2 linked regions of the Struthio camelus genome follow. The protein of the gene in region 1 purifies or fractionates together with the protein of each later gene. This does not show direct contact. Links are inferred from orthologs where the notes say so. Each region holds a gene or a part of one and is shown in the gene's direction. Other genes may lie near its edges.

What was found.
Region 2: the proteins of ASXL2 (region 1) and OGT purify together in Homo sapiens (affinity purification with mass spectrometry; 3 studies listed by BioGRID and IntAct, with this or other methods). This does not show direct contact. The link is inferred for Struthio camelus from reciprocal best matches to the Homo sapiens genes ASXL2 and OGT.

What each region holds. Positions count from the first base shown.
Region 1 is NC_090944.1:1,667,376-1,675,372, reverse strand, and holds the start of ASXL2 (putative Polycomb group protein ASXL2), read left to right. Parts: upstream 1-3,732; 5' UTR 3,733-3,937; coding exon 3,938-3,994; intron 3,995-7,997.
Region 2 is NC_090952.1:25,820,900-25,828,896, forward strand, and holds the start of OGT (UDP-N-acetylglucosamine--peptide N-acetylglucosaminyltransferase 110 kDa subunit), read left to right. Parts: upstream 1-2,656; 5' UTR 2,657-2,946; coding exon 2,947-2,983; intron 2,984-6,726; coding exon 6,727-6,907; intron 6,908-7,923; coding exon 7,924-7,997. Other genes in the region: TAF1 (transcription initiation factor TFIID subunit 1), read left to right, coding at 39-216, 1,396-1,612. UniProt on the Homo sapiens protein: Catalyzes the transfer of a single N-acetylglucosamine from UDP-GlcNAc to a serine or threonine residue in cytoplasmic and nuclear proteins resulting in their modification with a beta-linked N-acetylglucosamine (O-GlcNAc).

The sequences.
Region 1 (7,997 bases):
AGAATGATTGAGGTTGGAAGGGACCTCTGGAGATCATCTAGTCCAACCACCCTGCTCAACCAGGGTCCTCCAGAGCACATTTCCCAGGATGGCGTCCAGGCGGGTTTTGAATATCTCCAGCGAAGGAGACTCCACGACCTCTCTGGGCAAGAGATTGCAGTTTGGGTTCCCCCCAGTTCAAGAGGGATATGGAAAAACTGGAGAGAGTCAGCATAGGGCCACCGAGATACTCAGGGGCCTTGGGCCTATGACCCACAAGGAGAGGTTGAGGGAGCTAAGAGAGAGGCTAAGGGCATCATCTAATAGCAGCCTACAAATATATGAAGGACAGTTACAAAGACGACAGACTGTTCTCTGTAGTGGAAGATAATGTAACAAGACGCGGTGGCTGAAATTGTAGTTTGGGAGGTTCAGGTTGGACATTAGGAAAAACTCCACTAGAAGAGGTAGTTCAGCACCAGCCTGGGTTACGCAGAGATTCCATGGTGGAATCTCCATGCTTGGACGATTTCAAGATTGGGCCAGACAAAGCCACAATGCTGGGATAGTCCTGCTTTAAGTGAGACTGAACTACAGACCTCCAGAAGTCTCTTCCAGCCAATGCTTCTATGACTTCATGACGCATAAAATAAATCCTGAGGGCCACTCTAAGATCACAGTTTGGAGCATATACCACATTACGCTTTAGAAAAATAAGCAAGCTGTAATTCTAGGAGTCAGCTTGAGAGTTGCTTAGGGGAAAAAAATGGTGGTTAGTCCTAGATCCTGGATTTGCTTACCTCTTTCACAGCCTCTCTGATCAGTGACTTTCTTCAAAGACTGTTCTGGTTTATAATCCAAACTTACTCACTTTAGCTGACCCTTAATTCATCGTTTTATATGATCATTTATGCCTGCACATTTATACCTGTTACGCTGCTTTGGTTTCATTGTATAACCTTTTTATATAAGCTTAAAACTTCTTAGGGTGTTATGAATGTTACATATCCAAATACCTTTGAGAATATGGGCCTTAACTTTCTTTTATTTCTGGCATGCTGACGGAGGCTTTCTCACACAGACATATACTACAATTTTCCACATTCTCTTCTCATAGAAACAGGAACATATGATGCTGCATATTGCAAGAAGCTGCTCATTTCTCTATGAAACCATGATACTGAAAGAACAACCATTTGAGATGCTGCACAGAGGTAAGTACTTTGCATATATGTTAACAAAGGCTGGCTTTCGGATAGCATGATAATTAGTTTTTCTGTCCGGTCCTATAAGAAAGAGAGTGGTTTGAGTGATATCTTCTGTAATAGGAAAGAAGGCAGAGATAAAATCAGAAGTCAGTGTGGGCTGGGAGCGTCACCTTGGAGCCCCTGTGACTTCTGAGGGTAGAAATGGCCTTGTATGGGTTGGGAGAAGATGGTAGTGAATTGCCACATTGGAGGAAGAGGTGGGATGGGGAAACAGCTGTGCTGAAAAGAGAATAGCTAGCATATGGAGCAGTGGTGAAGGAGGGGAAGGAGCAACATTTGTGACAGTCTCTCGTGGCAGTATGTGGATGGAGTAGGTAATAGCAGTGCTAGTGTGGTAGGAGGTTAGTTGGGAAGGCAGCTAGCTGCATTACAGCTGTGGGAAGCTGCGGGAGGGAGCAAAGGGAACTACTTACTACTCAGTGGCAGATAGCAGGAAAAGTAGTAGCCACGTGAATGGAAGTGTGTGGGCTGTTGCTGTTGGTAGAGTTCACAGTGAGAGTTAGATGGTACCTCAGATGCTGGTTAATTGCCACGTGAGTGGAGGGGTGTGGGGGGAGGTTGATAACAGAGCACGGGGAAAGTTGTTTAGACTGTAGTTAGTGGCACTGGGGAAAGGAACAGTGATGGTAATTAAGTGGTGGCTGCCTGCACTGAGTGGGAGGCACGTGGTTAGCTGTTGGGAGACGCTTGGTAGCTCTGGAGGGAAAGGAAGTGTATGGTCAGGTAGTGGTTAGCAGCAGCAGGGGGGGGAGGGAAATGAGCAGCAGTGTGCAACAGAGAAGGAAAACCAGTGATAAAGTGCCGGCTGGTCATTAGCATCAACTGGTGGGGAGGAGAGAAGGTGGCCCTGGGCAGCAGCTAGAAGGGAAACAGGCGAGTCAGGACATGGCTGGCAGCGCTTAGGGAGAGCTGGCCATAGCCCCGTGGCAGCAGCTGTGGGGAGAGTGTGGCCAGTCGTCAGGCGATGGCCAGGGGCACAAAGGAAGAGGGACTGAGTGGTCAGTGAGTGGCAATGGAGGGTGGTGGATGGCCCTTATCGGCATTTGGTGGCCATGAGGAGGAGAGAAGGTAGCGGGTGGCAGCCGGCTGCCGGCTGGTAACCGTTGGAAGAAGGGATGGTCTCAGTGTTGGCACTTGGTGACTCTAGGGAGGAGGGTGAAGGTGGGCGTGGGGCAGTGGTTGGCAGGAGGAAGGGAGCCGGTTGCCACTTGGTGGCCGTTGGTGGCTGTGGGGAGAGAGAAGAGGGTAGAGGTTGTGACAGGGTGTGTGGGGGGGACCTGGTGGGCACTGTGTGACAGCTGCTAAGGGCAAGCACAGGGGAGCAGGGGCTTGAGGGTGCCGGCAGAGGACTGTGGGGACCACGGGTGGGTGTGGGGTGGGGGTCCCTGACTGTAGCTGATGGCAGTTGGCAGCTGCGGGGGAGGGAAACTGATGGCACTTGGTGGCTGTGGGGGAGGGGAGCCGGGGGTCGTTGGCGGCAGTTGGTGCCTGTTGGGGGGGGGTGTCGTTGGTGTAGGTGGGTGGCTGTGCGGGGGGGGGGGTGAAGGGATCGTTGACGGCTGCGGGCGAGGGGTTGAGAGGTTGTTGGCGGCAGTGGAGGGGGGAGTTGAGAGGGTCGTTGGCGGCAGTTGGTGGCTGTGGGGGAGGAGAGCCGGCGGTCGCTGGCGGCGGTTGGCGGCTGTGGGAGGGGGAGTTGGGGGGGGTCGTTGGCGGCGGTTGGCGGTTGTGGGGGAGGGGAGCCGGCGGTCGCTGGCGGCTGTGGGAAGGGGAGTTGAGGGGGTCGTTGGCGGCGGTTGGCGGCTGTGGGGGAGGGGAGCCGGCGGTCATTGGCGGCGGTTGGCGGCTGTGGGGGAGGGGAGCCGGCGGTCGCTGGCGGCTGTGGGGGAGGGGAGCCGGCGGTCGCTGGCGGCGGTTGGCGGCTGTGGGGGAGGGGAGCCGGCGGTCGCTGGCGGCTGTGGGGGAGGGGAGCCGGCGGTCGCTGGCGGCGGTTGGCGGCTGTGGGGGAGGGGAGCCGGCGGTCGTTGGCGGCTGTGGGGGAGGGGAGCCGGCGGTCGCTGGCGGCGGTTGGCGGCGGAAGCGGAGCTGCGGGACGCCGGCGGCTGTAGGGGAAGCGGAGCCGGGGGTCGCTGGCAGCGAGGGGAAGGGCGCTGCGCTCGCTGGTGACCGGGAGAGGAGCGGAGCCGGCGGCGAGCGGACCGCCTGTCACGCGCGGCGCGGCCCCCTCACGCAAGCGATCGCCTCGAAGGCGCCTGCGCGCCTGGCGGAGGGGTGGGGCGGGGCCGGGCCCCGTGCGCGTGCGCGCCGGCGGCCGCCCCGGGGCGGGGGGCGGGCAGCGCCCTTTGGCAGCGGCGGCGGGGCGAGAGCGCAGGCGCGGGAGAGAGGGCGGGGCTCGCCGGCGGCCGGCCCCGCCTCTCCCGGCGGCCCGTACAGTAGGAGGAGTCACGCGGGTGGGCGGTCACATGACCGCGGCCCTTTACAGTAGGATCCCAATATGGCAGCGGCGGCGGCCGCGGGGGGAGTCGGCGCTGGGAGCGCTCGGACTTAGGGCCGCTCGCCCGCCCGCCCGCCCGCCCTCCTCCTCCGCCGCCCTCCTCTTCCCGGCACCCCCCGCCTCCCCCTCCTGCCTCCCCGCTGCGAGCGGGAGGAGCGCCCGGGAACCTCGGAGCCAGCTACGCCCCGCCGCGTCCGACATGAGGGAGAAGGGCCGCAGGAAGAAGGGCAGGACCTGGGCAGAGGCCGCCCGGACGGTACGTGGAGGCCGAGCGCGGCGGGAGGCGGCGGAGGCCGAGGCAGGCGGGAGCGGGGAGGAGGAGGAGGGGGGGGGGGGGGGGTGTCCGGCGGGGCCTGGAGGCCGCTGGGGCGGGTCAGAGGCCTCCCGGCTGCTCCGGGTCATGCGGGCTCCCTCCTCCGGGGGGCGGCCGCTCCTGTCGCTCCCTGCCGCCGTGGCGGCCGGTCCCCGAGGGTAAAGAGCCGCCCAGGCGGTCCTGACGGTGCCCGGCGTCCCCGGTTGGGGCTGGGGGGCCGGCGGGGTGCGAGGCCGCCTCCTGCGGGGGCCTTGGCACGCTGGGGGCTCAGCGGGGAGGCGCGGGCCGGACCTGCCGCGGTCTGAGCTGGGACGCGTTTTTGAGCCGACTTTTAAATTAGTATGTTATAGCAAACCACAGCCCTTACAGGACGACCTAGGAATGCTCATTTTCCTTTCCAAAGCTGTCAAGTCTTGCTCATGCGCAGGCATCAGCTTCAATGCCAGTGGCTTTGCCATGGGTCAGGCTCTGTTCCTAGTCCGCCTTGAAGCCCTGCATCACCTGCCGTGGGCAGCCCCGATTTCAGCAGAAAGGTCAATAGAGCCTCAGTGTCTGGCAGCAGGTGGGTCTGAAAAGACAGCCTGGTAAAATATGAAGCTTTTCAAATAGAAACGCAACACTGCAGAGTCTGCGCGGACTGTTAGTCTGTCTCTGCCTGCAACTTTGTCCTAATGCTTTGCGTTTGGATGGGGCTTTTTAAAATTTTGACCTGTTTTCCAGTTGCTTAGTGTTTCTAGACACAAATTTAGGTAGGGAACTCTTAAGGGAGGAATTGCTTCTTCATGTTTACAAAATGCTGTGAACGGTAAGATTTTTAAATAATATTACAAAACAAGTGATATGTACTATGATTTTCAGTATTCTCAGTATACTAGTGTCTTTCATACAGGAGAACTTGTTGCAGTAGGGGCAAGTGAATTGCCTCATGTCATACAGTGATTCACCCTAGAAGGAGGATTTTTTTTATCTTCTGATTCCCAAGTCTAGTAGTCTTTGTTACTATACCACTTTCAAGACAGACTTTACTTGTATTTTCTACCTGGGGCATGCATGTTTGAGAATGGATAAACGAAAAGGGAACTTTAGTAGTAGGAGAAGCCTGGAGAGAGAGAAAAATGAACAAGTGCGTGCTGCTGCAGGAGGAGTGGAACAGAAGTGTTGAATTGTGAAAGTACACCATGTGCTTGTAAAATATCTGCATTTCTAGTGAAGATTCAAATCTCCTTAATAGGAGGAGGAGGAGTTATGGTTATATCATAAGCATTCTGGAAGAGGTGTCTGTTAAAACAGGACTTGAAAAGTCTGGCTAGAAAGCAAATGTAAATAGGCATCTGCGGTTGAGACTTGCAAGCGCTAACTTTATTTGTGAATAGTAATTTGTTTGGGCCTGGTATTTACAGTTTGAAAGGCATCAAAATAGTTGCTCTTCATCTAAGGATATGGTGCAGTTAACTGTTTTAAGAATATAGGATGCATCCCCCAAGTGGACATTTTGGTTTCTTTGTGTATCTTTTTTGTGTATCTTCTAAAACTTATTTCCAAAGTAGAATAGAAGAATTTCATGTATAGGGTGTCTGTGTGACCAGATCATTTTATCTGCCTATGTGCATCGCTGTTCATACTGTATCCACTGATCTGTTTTAAAATCCCCTTCAGTGCTAAAATAGATATTTAGAAATGCTGCAATGAAAAGTATCAAAGCTGAAGGTTTTATGGTATCTTAGGTAGCTTCATGGCAAGGGTAGCCAAAAACTAGGAGAAGATGACTGAATGCTTGCCAAAACCCTCTGTTTTGGCAAATACTGCTATTTGTATCTTCAGTGGGAATGTTAAAATGTTTTAGTCAAACTCCAGTTCTGTTCTGTCTTCAAAAAGTTCCCCTGTGTTTTTTTTGGAAATACTGTCTTTTGAGTACACAAACTAGGACAAGAATCGTATTGCCATTTCAGCTACCAGTGCTTGAAGTTCATAGGGTATGTTATAAACTGCATTAAGAAGTGTGGCAACTCTCAGGCATTCCTCATGAACGGTAAAACTTGTCTCAAACTTGGAAAGTCTTCCGGTTGTATTCGGTGGAGTGTTGCATCTCTGCACTTTTTTGTGAAGTTACTTCTTTGCTAGTTTAGTGCTCTGTGCTAGCTCACTATGGAGTGGAGTGAGCCCTGATAGTCAAAAGTAATCATGGCAGCTGGAGGGCTAGGGGCTTGGGGGTCGCATTTTTTGCTGCTGGCAAACCATAAAACTAGCTATCCTGTCATGCTGCACCATAGTGGTTACTGAACAGCAGCTCAGGGTCATCAAAGTTGATGTTTCTGTGGTGGTTCTCTCCCACGTCCGCCTCCTTGCTGTGTCTTTTGCATCACCGCTGGTGCTTGTAGGTGGTTCAGGGAGCTAAAACAGCAGAAAACTATTGCTATGGTTCTGGATTGGCTTTATGCCAGCTTGGTCTTCATAATCAGTTATCTGGAATCAGGTATTTGCCAGTGCAAGAGAGGTGGTGGGAACATGGGGGATTGTGGGGAATTGTCAAGATAGTATCACCTTGAAATCAACTGTTGTGAAAATGCAGTGTTAGTCTGAAATCGGATGTTAACCAACAGAAAAATGGTCTTTCTGTTTCTTTTAAAAAAAAAAAAAAAAAAGACCTAGGATAGATGGTAGGTAGATGGATAAGACTGATTCAGTAGGACTCAAGCTATTCTTGTTCTTGTATGTCTAGGAATATAAGTTGGAGCAGAATTATAGCGTAAAATACGGAAAGAGAGCCTTGTGAGGGCAGTACATTCAGGGAGGAAGTTGCTGTTGATAAACAACCTTTTTTTTTTCTTATTTCCTGGCTCATTCAGCAAATGCGCAGCTGCAGATCACTATTAACTTGTGGCTTTTCTTGGGACAATGGCTGGGTATCCTTGCAGTTAAAATAAAACGCTTCATGAAGGTAAGAAGCTGGTACTATATAGTAAACAAGTTTGAGAAATGCACTGGGCTACGCTCTTCAGAAACAGCAACCAAACTGTAGGAAGACACCAATGGGACAGTGTGTCTAGAGAAGAGAGATGGTATAGCAACATTAACTTGGTTCTATGCTCAGCTCTGTATTGAACTATATGTTCTGCTGAAGACTTAGAATACATAAATTATGTCTATATTGGTAAACTTAACAGCTTCAGGGCTTGTTTTCTTGCCCTGAGACGACCTTGCGGAGTTTATGTATGTCCATACCGTTAAATTTCTAGCGTTCATAATACAATGCCTGCATTCGTTAGCACAGGCCTGTGCTAATTTTTGGACTGTACTGGGAACTCTGTCTGGGCTCAGCTCGTAACCTCACAGCTAAGTCTGTGGCAGGGACCTTAGCGGTGTGGATGGCTGAGATAGCGCCCGCGCTGTGCCCTGGCAGCGTTTAGCTAGCTGGTGTAGCTGTGGCTGTGCGGCTCCAGCGGTTCTAAGACGTCTGTAACCGATGTTTGTCACAGCTGGTTCGGACATGAGAACAAATGCAGTAGTACTTGCTTTGGATATGCATCGTTATCATATGTGAACTGATGTTCACAGTGCTTGTGGTTGAAGGGGGCTGGTACGTAATGTTATGTCTGCGCTCATGGACGTGGTAACAAGGCTTGCGCTATGCAGCAGAGAAGTTCTGCGCTTTCTTTTTGGTTCCTGAGGTATTTGAGTTGATCTTCCTCTTGCTTCTGTTCGGTACGGTCCTCGTGATCCAGCCCCCTAAAGCGGGAAAGGATCAGTAGAACAGCAGAGCGCCCTGCGCACCTTTCTGCTCTGATACGTGGCAGCGCCCTGTAACTTGCAGGCTGCCATGGTGTTAGCGGCCTGCTTAAATCAGGGCAAGAAATGCTGTTGCTGGACGTAAGCCACAGACAAGCCGTCCTTGTGCTTCGTGTGTGGAGAAAGCATACACTGTCATGTGCCAAGTTTGAAGAAATTT
Region 2 (7,997 bases), on another chromosome or scaffold:
ACTGTTGATTTATGAACAAGTGTTGGCTTATTGCACAGCTATCCAACTGAGTGAGAGCGGCAGCGATTCAGATGTGGAGTCCAGTGCAGTGAGACCCAAACAACCTCATGTTCTTCAAGAGAATACACGAATGGGCATGGACAATGAAGAAAGTATGATGTCTTATGAAGGAGATGGTGGGGAGACATCTCATGTCATGGAGGACAGTAATATCAGGTAATTAGAGCAAAGAATGTTGTTAAAATATTTCTTTCTTCAGAACAAAGTCCCTTCTGTTAGAGATTTCTGAAGTGTTTATGACAAAGAGCTGGAGAATGTCTCATGTTCTTGTTAAGTTACTCTGTTACTGGTTTTAGTGTTGCACCTGTAATTGCAACTTACTTTTGAAGTTCTTGTTGACAGGAATTTGGTTTTGCTTTTAGACCATCGCTAATGAAAAATATTTGTTAAAATAATAAAATTAAGAATCACTTTTTCTTGCAAGTTAAATAACTTACTGTGCATAGTATTTTTTGAAGGCAAGGAAAATGAACCTTGTTTTAGATGGTCTCAGAAATTAGTAAGTGCCTTTGAAGCTAAAAGATAATATAGCTGATTAACGTCAAGCTGTTTTTCTTTGAGAGTAATAATTTCCTTCCTTGGAAGAAAATTGCTTGCTTGAAGTCCAAAAGAACAGCAAAGAATAGGAATATGTATATTGTGTATCTTGGAATGAGTTCCATTATTAGAAAATGGCAAGTACAGCAATAGTAGCTTTATTTTCTGCACTGATTTGAGAAAATACTGATCTACTTTTCCTTCTCCGGCCATTCTGTAGAGAGTTAGCATTAGATTCTCTGTTCTTTTTTTTTTTTTTTTTAATTGAAAGAACTCACTTCCATAATGTTGTTATTGGTATTTGCCTAATAAATTATTTTACAGGCCAGCTGTCATAATAGAGATAAGACCTGCCCATAAGAGTAGTTACGCTGGATTAGGCAAATGGTCCATCCAGCCCAGTACCTTGGCAATAGCCAATAGTAGATGCTAGAGAAGCGGATGAGAATGGGCTGTGCTCTCGTTGGAATTGCTGTGCTGTCTGCCTTTCCCATCTCCAGTAAAGGTGACAGATGGAAGGTGCTGGAACAAGTAGAGAACTCCGATTTTTTTTTTTTTTTGCCCTGAGTATTTCAGATTGGGTTGAGGATGTTGATAGATAACTATTTCATCGGGAGAGCTGTTTCTTAGTTAACAAAACTGGTCACTGATCAAATTGAATTGCACAATGTTTCAAAGTGTTTCACAGCACTTCCACTCAGGGACATTTTACAGGAGTAAAAATGTTACAGACAGAATATCTGATGCCAACAACTGATTTGAAATAGTAGTATAAGAAGAGTATATTCTTTCTTCCAGCTATGGCAGCTATGAAGAACCAGACCCAAAATCCAACACAAGAGATACTAGTTTCAGCAGTATTGGAGGGTATGAAATCTCAGAAGAGGAGGAAGAGGAGGAAGAGCAGCGTTGTGGGCCGAGCGTACTAAGTCAGGTCCATCTGTCTGAGGACGAGGAAGACAGTGAGGATTTTCATTCCATTGCAGGAGACAGTGACTTGGACTCAGATGAATAAACTTCTCGGGAAGCTCCCTTTCCCTGAGACGGCAGTCATCTTGGGCTACTCTTGGCTCATGAACTACTAACATCCCAGCTGGGTATAAGAAACAACATGGTGCAGTCTGTGTTAATACGAAACAGCTTTTTTTTTTTTAATAGTAGTTTTTATTGTTCTAAAACTTGTTACGTGACTGAGTAAATAGTGAAAAATAAGCTTTAGAGAAACATGCCCAGCTGAAGTACTGGGCTGGTGTGATCTTCACTAGTTCTAGAATCCAGCTGAAGACCTTTAATGGTTTGTTCTTCCTTCTTTATAGATGTAATTTCTCAAAAATAGTAGCTTGTTGGATTCATGCATTTCTGCCAGGGAGAGATGGTTGCTCAGAGTACAATGTCTGCAGTTGTTTTGATATCAAAACAATTGTAAAATAAGAACTTTCCCTTTATGAAATGACAGTTACCTGGGAACAGAGTATGAATGCATTCTCTCCTGACTACTGTCTACCTTGAATGTGTCAGTGAACAGCTGCCCTATTGGTTTTTTTTTTTTTTTTAAGCTGCGATTGGCCACAGAAAACAAAATTTGCTAGTTGGAGTCTTCAGGAATTTTCAGGCTGCTTGTATCCTGGGTGTGAGATTCCTTATGTTTAGTCAAGTGAGAAGAAAGCACAGACTTTGGTACTGTACTTACTGGTTAAATTAATTGTAAATAAAACTCAGGATGGTTTGAAGATGGGCTCCTGCTGTGCTCGTGCGTCCCCGAGGTCCCCCCCCGCTCTCGGGCTACCTCCCAGCGGCGCTTTCCGGGCGGAGTCCGGCCGCTCCCCTCCCCTCCCCTCCCCCGCCCCCGGCGGCCCCGGGCTGTCCCGGCAGGCCCCGCGCGCCGCCGGCACCCGGATGTGCCCGCGGACTCCATGTGCGGGCAGAGCGGCGCGAGGGGAGGGCGGGCGCGCAGGCGCAGTTCCTCCCCGTTTGTCGCAATGGCTTCGCGCGGAAGGATACGCGCATTGACAAAGCCGTCGCCGCCCCTCGCCCGAAGCCGCCGAAGGCGGAGCGTGGCGGAAGGAGACGCATCCAGGTCCGGCAGAGATTTCTCCGCCGCGCAGGGGCCCGCCCGGCGCCGCTCTCTCGCGCCGCCCGGACTATTTCGTGAGCGGAGATAGGTCCGGCAGCGGCCATTCGGCTGTGTGCTGCCTCCGCTGCCGCCAGCGCCATTTCGGGAGCCGCCGCCTTAGCGTGCCGGGAGCGTGGGGAGCTCGGTCCTGCTCCGCGTGCCCCAGCCTAGCGGCCCCCTGCGTGCCCGCGGCCGTTCTGCTGCCTCCGCCCGAGCCCCGCCGGCCTCCCTTCGCGATGGCGACCTCCGTGGGGAACGTAGCTGACAGCACAGGTACTGCGGCCTGCCGCGCGGGGACGGGCTCGGGGGCGCGCCGGCAGGCCGGGCCCCGCCGCCGCCGCCGCCCTGCGGGGGCCGGGCGCTGCCCTTGCCCGCGGGGCCAGCCGGAGCCCGAGCGCCGCGCTCCCCGCTCCCGGCGGAACTTTCCAGAAGCGGCGGCGGCTCCCGGCGCGGCCCCCGCCGCCGTTGTTCGCGTGTCGGTTCGGCTCGCGGCGCCGCCGGGCGGGCCCGGTCGCGGCGCGAGGCCCCGGCTCTGCCGCCAGCCGCAGGGAGCCGGCCCGTGCCGCGGCTGCCCGGCGGCTGCGTAGGAAAACGCTCCTCCAGGAGGCCGAGATGATTAGTTCTGAGGGGGGGTGGTTTCTTATGTCTATATTTATCTGGCAATTAGGTTTTTACAGAGGACGCAAAAGGATGAAAGCCTGACCTAAAACGTAAATTGATTTTTCCAGAATTTCTCTCGCTATATTTAACCAGGAGGTCGCTCCTGGAATAGCATAGCAGGGCAACTTTTTCTGGCTAGAAGGACAGCGTGCTCTTGCTGAGAAAGGTGCTCTCTTCAGTTTACAGATCTAGAACGCGGGGGCGGAGGGACAAAATCCCCCTTCCTGCCTTCAGGGCAAGGAGAAGGCCCTGCATCCCGGAAGGATGAACAGAAAACACAGCTTTTTCCGCTAGAGTTTTTTGGGGCCTTCTGTTACCAGAGAGCAACGAAGGGTCTGAAAAGGTGAAACAGGATGATGGAAAAGTAGGGAAACAAGGTTATACAGGGAAAGAGACGCGCTACTGGTAGGAGTGACGCAAAGGGAAGCGGGAGTGGTACAAAGGTGGAGATGGAGAGAGGGCAACTAGCTTCTGTACGGCATTGCTGATAACGCCTTCCACCTCAGCCAGAACCACTCACCTCCTCCCCTGATCTGCAGCATCCTCTCGGGGCCTTGAGCTGTGGAGGTGACAAGGACGTGTATGGGGAGGGGAGCGTTCCCTGTTCCTTGCCACCACCACCTCCCGTGTGGAGGTGGCAACTATTCCTGTCTGCGCCTAGATTTTATCCAAATGCAAAGCTGGGTGCGAGCGCACATGAAGTGCTTGGCTTGCTATTTCTGGAGAATTTTTGTCTTGTGTACGGTTGTGGTATTTCTGCACGGGCTTTTTGTTTTGTGTGCGTTCTCTAAAAGTATCAGGAAAGGTCATTGTTGTAGCACATGCTATGCTTTTCCAAGGTCGTAATTAAGGCACATAGTACATGCTGGCATAGGTACGCAAGTTCATGTAATACAGCAGGTGAATGTTTATAAGACTTGGTAAGGGATTCTTTTGGCTATAACTCTTTCACTGGCGTTGTTTTTTTTTTAAATGGATTCTGTGAGCAACTGTGAGTGGCAGTATTATGGATTCCTTGGATAACGTGATTCTCTTCTGTAGTAGCCCTAGTAAACGTTGAGCTCGTTTTGAAGCCTGCGGTAGTTGTCCACTTGCACTTTCCTACCTGCTTGTGAAGAGGATTGCTGCTAAAATGTGTCTTGGGAGAGATGGCTGACTGTCTTACTGCAAGTGACTAGTTTGCTTTATCTCAGTTGGTAGGGTTTGTTTTGTAAGGGGACTTCATAGATGAAAGAAATCTTAGTGTTTCACTCGTTTTGTTGTTCTCATTAACAATTTTTATTCATGGGTTTTATATGAAATTTTCTATTTTTAAAATGAATTTTATGAAATTTTCTTTTTTTTTTTTTTCATTTTCTCTCTGTTGCCCCTACAACTGTAACTTCAGTTTCAGTTTTCTGTTTTGCTTAAATAGGCAAAGCATAGTATGTAGGTAAGTTAGAAGGTTCCTTCCAAGTGGTGATAAGAATTTAAGTCTAAGTTTTTGTGGGGTTTTTTGTTTATTTGTTTTGTGTTAGCATTCGAATTTAATAATACCCTTGGAGTTTATTTGAAGAAATGATTGAATTAGGTCCACGGAGCATGCACTAGTTTCCCCCTTTTTGCACTGTCAGCAGAACTTGAAAATACAGCAGCTGTCAGATGAGCTAAACCTGTGTGACTGTTAACAACAGAAGGTAGGCAAGGAACAGCATGTTTGTACTTCAGTATTCTTACTTGTCAGCCACTTCAAATTTTGGTAAATGATGCTGTCATTTTCACGTTAAATAACGCTTGTACATGTTTACTGTCAGTAGGTTTAACCAGATGCAGAAGTCCACGTTTTCCATAGGCTGGGTTTGGAAAGGTCTTAAGCTAGGCTCCTTGAAAAAAGGACTTAATCTGTGTGAAGATACTTGATTAGTATTTTGTGACGTCTTTGGAAGTGAGTAGTCGTGCTAGTTTCAGTGAAGCCAGAACCGGTTAAAGTTTTCAACACCGACAGAGACAATGCATCTGGAATAACAGCTTTAGTTACCTCCTGTAGTGTTTGCGGTCTTCAAAACCCAGCAGTGCTAAAAAGCTCTCTTTAAAAGAACTTAAATGGCTTCCATCAATCTCAAGTCCGTTAAACACTAGATAATAACTCTGTGCCTAATCTCCTCGTGATTATTTTTCTATTGCATTAGCAAATTTCCTTGTATTAGGAAGGATTTACCTGTGCTTCGTTGTATCAAAAATGTAAAACTCTATGTCTTGGTGGGAAATGTTTAATAAGCGAGTTTAAAAGTGACTGCAGGACTGAAGAAGGGCAAATAAGAGACATTTGCAGTAGTTGAAACATATTTTTATACTTTTAATAAGTAATTTTATATCGTAAGTATAAAATAAAAAGACAATTTGAGGGCAGATCCTTCTTTTTAGGATGAACGTTTTTTTTTTTCCCCCAAGATGCGCTTACCATATCTATCTTCTAGGATAGAACTGTACTTTGTAAGACAACTTACTTTTCACAAAAAAGGTTGTTAATCTAAAACAGGTGATATTTTACTCAAGTTTTTTGTTCTCTGTGAATATGTTGTTAACAGTAAAAGCACTTTGTCACTCCAGTTCCAGCTCGACACCCAGAATTAGCGAATCCTTTTCTGTATCCTGTGCTTTGTAAAGACTGCTTCTGTGGGCCAACAGCATAAAAATCACAGCTATCGTTCTGAGACCAAAATTGATTTTGATGGGAGAATTTTTACTCATTATAGATAATACAGCCTGATAACAGAGGTTGGAAGAAATGTTGTGTGTTACACTTGTATTTATTTATTTATTCATTCATTTTTGTTACGGGCTTTCACGTGCTACAAATCTACTGCTACAGCAAAACTTTTTTTTTTTTTTGAGTCCTTTGAAGTTTTTGTCTGCTGTCCTCTTCATTTCTCAATTAATGGTTTTTAGAACTTGTCTTTAATACTATGAAGTATAAGACTTACAGTTGGGGAAAAGTCAACAGATTCATTGTTTTGTTACTAGCACTTTTAGTGTTATGAACCAAAGTACAATATTATTTTGGGAATGTTGTCAGATATTTTTCAGGTTATTGGAAAATGATTGACTTGTAATGACTCTCTGTGTTTATACGCTTATTATTAACTGATGAGGTTATGGACTATTATACCCATCATGTTAGAAGTGTCATAACTATAGATTGAGGTATGAAGATCTGAGAGTTTTAAATGTCACATGCCGTAGTACTTTATGTAATTTCAAGCATTTTCATCCTTTAGTTTTGCACATCTTTTTTTTTTTGCTTAAACATTTTTTTGTTTTGTTTCCATTATCTAACTTTTTGTTTTCCCCCCTTAAATGTTTTGGTGATTCTCCAGAACCAACGAAACGTATGCTTTCCTTCCAAGGGTTAGCGGAGTTGGCTCATCGTGAATATCAGGCAGGAGACTTTGAAGCAGCAGAGAGACACTGCATGCAACTTTGGAGACAAGAGCCTGATAATACTGGTGTGCTTTTATTACTGTCGTCCATTCACTTCCAGTGTCGCAGACTGGACAGGTAGGAGACCTGAGGTGTCCTGTCAAGCTTTACTTGTAGTTTGCACCTCTCGTAACATTGAGCACAGCTGACAAAAGTTCTGTTACAACTGCGGTTTTATCGTTGAACACAAATACTGACTAACCTCTTGGCAGCAGTAAGAATTGGTCCGAAAATGTTCTTTCTTTCTGAATTTTGCTAGGGCAAAAGAAATCCGAATTGGAATTGCTAGCCTTGCAACAAACAACAGATGTTGTTACTCATGTTTTACTTTGATATCAGAATATCAGCCATGCTTGTATGTACCAGAGGCGTCTGCACTTGCAAAAAATAATGATCGTTCATTCCACCTGAAGTGTGGGGTTTTGCGGGGAATTTTTTTTTAGTTGCAAGACTGTGACAAGATGATTGTTTGCTGTGAAGTGGCGTGATTAGTTGAATGTTTTGTTCTCTGAGAGTTGTCTCCCTGTTCTCTTTCTATCTGCTCCTGAGCTTGCTTTTTGTTCCTCAAGCATTTCAAACGGTATTATCTGTTTCAGCTGTGACTCTGTGTGTGCTGGCAATGGAAGTAACTTGTGAGTGGGATTTAATTTACGTAGGCTTGTAAACAAAGCCGTAATAATTCAGATACGGGGAAAAGTGAGTGGGAGACAGAATTTTACACCTACGTATCTTTGCTATATCCTATTTCTTGAGAAGAGTATCCAGTAAAATATTGCTTAGAGAAAAGCTGTCAGATGTTGGCAGAGGCTTAACAGACATTCTACAGTAACCTTTTTTTAAACTGCGTTTAGCTCAGGTTTAGCCAGAGGCTTGCAGGACTCTACTAGTTGCAAACTAGAGTTGTTCTTTGTTCAGTAGAATCTAAAATGGAAGGGAGAGGGTAATTTAAGCTAAGAGAAGCTACGCTTTTAAGACTGCTCTCCGTAACTTCACGTTTGTTGACTATATGTTTGGCTCACTTGAGCATGAGTGTTCATTAAGTAAGCGGACAGGCAAAGTCAGTGGTTTTTTTTAACTTGTCTTATTTTCTTCAGGTCTGCTCACTTCAGCACTTTGGCTATCAAACAGAATCCATTGTTGGCTGAAGCCTACTCGAACCTAGGCAATG